Linked DNA regions of Tribolium castaneum. The protein of the gene in region 1 binds, or shares a complex with, the protein of each later gene. Links are inferred from orthologs where the notes say so. Each region holds a gene or a part of one and is shown on either strand. Other genes may lie near its edges.

Region 1 (4,398 bases):
AGTATGTAATAGTTATCATAAATAAATAAAAGGAAAGAAATATGAGACTTGAATGAAAATAGTAACGCTACGAACAAGCAAAAATACATAATTTTCAATAAAAACAAAAAGGATTTTAAGCAAATTTTGGTCCAGGATTCTGGAATTCACAATCATTCAAGTTATCAAAAAATTCGAGATATCGCAGTTTCGACATAAACATTCTTATGCAAAATAAGGGAAATATGGAAAGCCAGGATTTGTCTGGATAAGAGGGTTCTACTGGAGATTTCATTTAATTAAACACGAAGTTAAATATAAGGTTAATAAAAAGCACTTTCATAAAAATGTAGGTATATTTTCTTTACTTAAAATTCATTGTAGATATAAAAAATTCCAGTTAAAAATTGATACTCCCTAAAAGATTACCATAATTCAGAAGCCGCTACTTTATTTACAAAACAATCTTTAAAACCGCGAATTACAATTGTGGACTGCAACCACGTTTCTCCATTTTCTGAACTTTTGTCTTTTTCATTAAAATTACGTTCACATTTTCCTGGACCTTCCACATCGCAAGAATCTTTAAATACTTCCAATTTATCACAGCATGAAAACACTTGAGAATTTGAATTAAAATTAATAACAGTTTGCTTTATCTTATTAGAAACTAATAAAGGTTTAGATGGTATAAATATATTGTCATTACACACGTTACTTAAATTACTTTGAGACGCTTCAACTTTCAAAAATATGTATGTGTTACAACAAGGTAATGAATTTTCTACTAGACTCATCCAGACCTCCTCTAAAAATATATTCCTGGCAAAAATTGAAAACTTTAGCGTTGAAAATACAGTACAACAAAGCGGTTTTACCTTAATATCCTGGACTGCCTTCTGCTATTTTCCATCACATGATTCCCCTCAACATGGCCTAAAGCGAGCGACGATGCCTTCACTGTAAAGACTTCCTTAGGACATACAGGCGTCACGCCAATTACAAAAATAACTTCTTTCAAACTATTCCCCAAGTCAGTAAAACACTTGACTATGTTTAAGGCGATATTTTCAACAGCATCATACGCTGTTGAAACAGTCTGGTAATGTTTATTTAGCGTAAAATTCGTCTTCTTCTCTTCCTCTCCGTCTTCAATACTTTTGCGTTTCTTCTTCACGATGCTCTTGAGCCAAGCATAGGGATAAGGGATTTGGGTCCTTTGATACAACAGGTTTTTCATAACTTCATTTACTAAAGAGGCACAAGAGGCCGGCGTCAGAATATAATCACCAACTGATATATTTATGGTTGAGGAATTCGGTAAAGCACACATAATTATTGTTAAAATAATAAATTAAACGAAACTTTAAAAACACAATAAAATAACCAAACTTTTGGAACGTCAAAGCAATGCCAACTTTGAAAGCATAAAATCGAAAAACGCTCGATAAAATTCAAAACGTTTGGCTAAAAATAATTACATAAGTTTTAAAATTCGTCTTCAAGCTTTTTTTTGCATTATAATATAACAAATAATTTACCCATAGCAATAACTGTAATTTTTCTTTCCCTCTTACAATTTTTCTGCAATACGGGTTTTCCAACGCCAACCAGAATTTGGGCGGGAAATAATTTTAGGTTATTTATTCTAAAAAATTCACAATTTACAAATACTCAAAGCAGAAATCAAAGAAATGGACGTTGAACAAGTCAAAAAGAAGTTGCACACGGCGTTAAAATTCGGCGGATTTAATATTCGGAGGTGTGTTTTTATTATAAATTGGACTACTTATTTATTGTAATTTCAGGGAGTTTTGTGGCAAAATTGTAGCCAAATTTCTCAGAGAAGGTATCGATTTAGAAAACAAACACCATTTTGATAATTGTGTTAAAAATCTGTGCTCCAGTTTAGAAAACCAGTGCCTTCTGGGGCACAGTATCGAAAAGGAGCACATAGACAGGGCTTTGGAGGTTTTTAAATAAAATTTGTTAAAACAGTGGCTAGACGAATGATTTTAGGTTTGCCTGAAGTCTGGTTACGACAGGAATGAAACAATTTTCAGTGTTATAAACGCTTTCGATTTTCCAAAAGTTTCATACAATCTTGATAGAAAACAGTATTATTTAACCGAAAATAAGCCCCGACTTTTGTCTTCTGCGGATTCCAAGGCACAGCTTTTTGCCGACAGATATGCCACGATTTTACACAGGACCAAAAGAAATTTTATACAGAAAGCAACAGAAAACACGAATATTAAATTAGAATTGCAAACTGTTGATTATTTGTTAACACTTTCGAATGTCTCACTGAACCATACTCTGGTATTAGGCTCGTTATTGCAAGTGTCTGAAGGCAAATATTACTTAGAGGACCCCACGGGAATCGTCCAACTGGACTTAAGCCACGCTGTGTAAGCCCCCACTTATTTTTTCGCCTCATTTACTCTTTATTTTTAGTTACTATGGGGGCTTATTTGCCGAAAACTGTTTTGTGTTAGTTAACGGACATTACGAAGACAAGATAATCAAAGTCTCCACGTTAATTCTACCCCCAGGGGAGGAATACGCCAATTCGCGCCCCTTTTTCAACACGATAAATTATTTCGGGGGCCCATCTCCAACACCCCTCAAAGACTCCGTAAAATTACGCGATCACTTACAACGAAATCGCGGCGCTTCGTTCATGTTTTTCTCAAATGTTTGGCTTGACCACCCTAGTGTAATAACGATCAAAAAAAAATCCACAAAACTTAATTCAAATTTTAGATTTTTGAAAAACTTGAATTGCTGTTTGAGGGTTTCAACCCCAGCCCGCCTGCGGCGTTCGTTTTCATGGGGAATTTCATGTCAGAGTCTTGCAGCAGCAATAAGATGGACACTTTGAGGAAACTTTTCAAACAACTAGCTGAATTAATTAACAAATACGAGAATTTGGCCACTGTTACGAATTTTATTTTCGTGCCGGGTTTGGAGGATCCATGCACTTCATACGTCGTGCCAAGGTGAAAAATATTAATTTGCTTTTTTTATTATTTAATGTGTTTTAGACTGCCGATTCCGTCATGCATAACTGAAGATATGACGAAAATGGTGAAAAAGGCAGTTTTTACGTCTAATCCGTGCCGTTTGCAATATTGCAATAAGGAAATTACGATTTTTAGGGCCGATGTTCTCCCAAAATTGCTACAAGCGTCATTGCATAAACCGAAAAAGAGCGAATTGTCCGAAAATGTAAAAATAACTGTGATTTGAAATTAAGTTGGCAAATCTGTGTTACCAACTCATTTTCAATATCTGAGGTCAAACTGATCGGAATTTTAATTGAGGCATTTGTTACAGCTGACCAGGACTATAATAAGTCAAGGGCATTTGTCGCCCTTGCCCTTAAACGCTTTGACAGTTCATTGGGATTTTGATTACACTCTAAGTTTAAATCCTCTCCCTGATTTAGTAGTGATAGGAGACAAGGCCGAACCTTACGAAGGGAAATACAAAGGGTGCCAACTTATAAACCCTGTAAGTTGAATTTTGAAATTAAGTTGGCTACATTAACTAGTGTTTAAAAAAATGTTTGTAAAGTAATTTTGCGTCATTTTAAAATGTTAATTGAATGTAATAATTATATGTACGTGTGAGGAGAGACATACGCTCATGCAATTTTCAGAGCACACTTGACCACGTTTAAAAAAATGTTTCAGGGTTCGTTTTGTGAGAGCGGGTTCCAGTTCAAGGCGTACAATCCTGCAACAGACAAAATCGAGGAATGTCTACTGTGAAAGCCTTAAAATAGCATATAAATTTATTAGTTAGGTCTCAAACATAATCTAGATTGTACACTTGAAAATTACTTGTACACTATTTACATTCACATTAAAATAGTCGCCTCGGCGATAAATGAATTAAATAACCTATTGTAATACCGCCTAAATCAATACGTATTAAAGAATTTCAATTTGACTTGAATCAGAAAATATCACACTGTCAAACATAAATAATCAAAAAAAGTTTAGCTTTCAGAAAAATACACATTATATACAACAGTACACAACTGTTACCAGTTTTCAACAAACGATAAATATCACATAGTACTAGGTTTGTTTGTTACAAAACGGACACAGTTGATCGTTAGTGGCACGATACAATTTTCGAGCGCTATGAATGCCCTAAAACAAACGGAATCAGAACCAAAAATTCCAAAAAATTGTGAAACTAACGTTCTTTTTCGTATCTCCGGCATGCTTCTGCTCGTTCTTTAGCGTCGAAATACCACAACGTTATTGCATATCTTGTGTCGTAGGCGGGTTGGACTTCATGTGGATTTCTCCGGTCAGACCAGAAAAATAAAAGACGGTCGAAAATTGGCTCTATATCAGCTACCTACAACCAAAAATCACATTTAAAAAAACTTAATTTACTAAT
Region 2 (2,507 bases), on another chromosome or scaffold:
TAAAAAGTTTCTAATTGTAGGTCCTAAAAGAATCAGCATGTTATATGGGATAATAAAAACGACATGGCAATATATCAATTAGCTAAAATGTTATGGACCGATTGGACACCCCTGGTTTACCCTGTATATGACTTTATTTGAAAACATATTTCACCGTTTTGTGAGATTTGTTCTAAATAAAGTGGAAACTTGTTAGAGTAAATCTGACGCAAATATGTTAATTCTATTACTCCTATTATTTTTCGAGAATTTTGCGAGTGTTCTTCAATTAGAAACTCACTAATCTAGAAATACATTGGCAAAAAAGAGAAAACATATGAACCTACGTCGAATATGTAAATTCAAATGATTTTTCCGAAGCTAATTGGAAAATCCTTAATTTAGTTAGGTTCTCTATTGTGAATTTAGAAACATTTTTCAGTGAAAATGAAAGGAATAATTTGCCGAAAAGACAAAAAACTTCCAAATTCGAAAAGAGATCTGCTATTTATTCTTTGTTTTTTTTTTAAACATAACTGCGAAGGCGCAAACACGAAAATAGGATAAGATTTACCAAAATTAACTGAAAATAATCTTAAAAGTATTTTATTCCAAGGCACCATCAAGGAAACAAAGACTAGGTATATTATCAATTGCGGCATCGACGTCTCGCTTCTGTACAGTTTTCCTTTTCCCCATCCCCATAAACTTGCCAGACTCTTTAGCAAGGTGCTCCAGAAACATCTCCTGAAATTTTAATTGAGTACCTAAGCTAACACTCAAATTTTTTTTGTTACCGTTGATTTGGTCACGAGAAATAGGGCATCTTGACTCACTAAATTACAGTCTGGGTCCATTTTCATAATGTGTTTAATTCTAGCTAGGGGTAGTTTCACTAATTTGGGTTTTTCGGGGGATGTTGTGGTTAATTCTACGAATTCTGGCGTTTCGGTAACGGGCTGCCTCTCAGTCTCAATCTCTTCTATATCCACTTCGTTGATATCTTCCATTTTATTTGTTAAAATTTTAAATAAATACCACTCAAGTTTCACAACATAACCTCAATCGCGCGCTATTCAAAGTCAGGTAAGGTGGTTACAAAACGAAATCCCCCAAATTATTTAAAAAAATTAGTAATAAAATACAATTTTGGCTTAGATTGTCTCACAGTTGTGTTATTTTTATGCGGTATATTGATAGGGATTGATAATTTTATTGATTAAGTTAATTTATTGCGGTTTGTATTCAATTTTGAATGATGTACCAAGTGGATTGGTATCCCTTCATTTGACAAAGTCTTAACCTCAAAATTATGGACGCTCTTACGTCAACGATCAAGTAAATAAAAGGTAATAACTTTGACCGCATCTATTTTAGTGTTTTGTTGGGTTTGTTGCAATAACTCTGCCCATAGATGGACGATGGTACCCCCAAGAGGGGCCGCGGCCGGGGTCGCGGTGGTCGAGGCAGAGGTCGGGGAAGAGGCCGAGGTCGCGGACGTGGTAAAAAGGCCATAAAAGTGATAGAAAGCGATGAAGAACTGGATAATTCCCAACTGCAAGAATCGTCCGAAGAGGCACAACAAACTGAAAGTGAATCTAACGAAAATGTGGCACCTAAAAGTAAATTTAATTGAATTAAAGTCAGCCTTGAATGACAATTGAATGTTATAGTTGATTTGGAAGCTGACATCTCCCAACTGGAAGCACCGACTTTTACAACAATTAACAGAGGGCCACCAGAACCAATGTTGCGGCTAGATTGGTCACATAAAGTGAATTTGATTGGCGAAAAAGTGCTCAATCCCATGATTCATTGCTGTGATAAGTGTTTGAAGCCGATTTTAATCTATGGACGAATGGTAAACTCTTTATTTTTAATACATTTTCTACTAAAATATCCGCAAAAATGTACTTAAACAAGGCTTGATCATTTTAAATCTAAAAACGGGGATTTATTAAATTTTAATCAAATTGCTCTGTAACTAGAAATTAGGTTGGCAACAGTGGCTACCAAAATCAAATCTCACATTTTTATCCACTTTACTCTGCGCCCTCTACTGAACGATTTTGAACCGCTTTTTTTGAAATTTGATTTTTGCACAAACTGCGATATTTTTCAAGATATAACTGATATAACTGATGCAAAATTTGGAATTTCAACTTCCTGCCACCTAAGTGGGCAACAGTATACAGGGTGTCCGTTTTTCCAGCTTTACCATGGGGATCTCAGTTATTATAAGAGATACGAGGTTGGTTAAATATGGGCAAAGTTGCGCATTTTTATGCTAAACAATTATCTGAAAGAAAATTAGATGTGTGGTTTTTAGTTTTTGAATTGAGAAAAATCAAAAATTTATAATTTTGGTTTTTATTTTATTAAGCGCAAACAAAAAAAACTTTGTTTAACAAACTAAATTTTGACTGTTCTATTAAATATGAGAGCAGAATTTTTATAACTTTGTGTTGTTTTGTTTTTCGAAGAATAAACTCCTAGTTTATCATGTCGTTTAGTTTTTAATAAGTAAG

Evidence for each region.
Region 2: PolE2 (region 1) and PolE4 share a complex: the UniProt entries of both Homo sapiens proteins name them as parts of the DNA polymerase epsilon complex. The link is inferred for Tribolium castaneum from reciprocal best matches to the Homo sapiens genes POLE2 and POLE4.

Annotation. Positions count from the first base shown.
Region 1 is NC_087396.1:20,065,023-20,069,420, reverse strand, and holds PolE2 (DNA polymerase epsilon subunit 2), read left to right. Parts: upstream 1-1,539; 5' UTR 1,540-1,673; coding exon 1,674-1,741; intron 1,742-1,787; coding exon 1,788-1,950; intron 1,951-1,998; coding exon 1,999-2,390; intron 2,391-2,436; coding exon 2,437-2,698; intron 2,699-2,745; coding exon 2,746-2,981; intron 2,982-3,026; coding exon 3,027-3,210; intron 3,211-3,318; coding exon 3,319-3,495; intron 3,496-3,677; coding exon 3,678-3,755; 3' UTR 3,756-3,942; downstream 3,943-4,398. UniProt on the Homo sapiens protein: Accessory component of the DNA polymerase epsilon complex. Participates in DNA repair and in chromosomal DNA replication.
Region 2 is NC_087395.1:5,461,743-5,464,249, reverse strand, and holds PolE4 (DNA polymerase epsilon subunit 4), read right to left. Parts: upstream 1,098-2,507; 5' UTR 990-1,097; coding exon 777-989; intron 727-776; coding exon 586-726; 3' UTR 570-585; downstream 1-569. Other genes in the region: E3 ubiquitin-protein ligase Hakai, read left to right, coding at 1,394-1,601, 1,653-1,840. UniProt on the Homo sapiens protein: Accessory component of the DNA polymerase epsilon complex. Participates in DNA repair and in chromosomal DNA replication.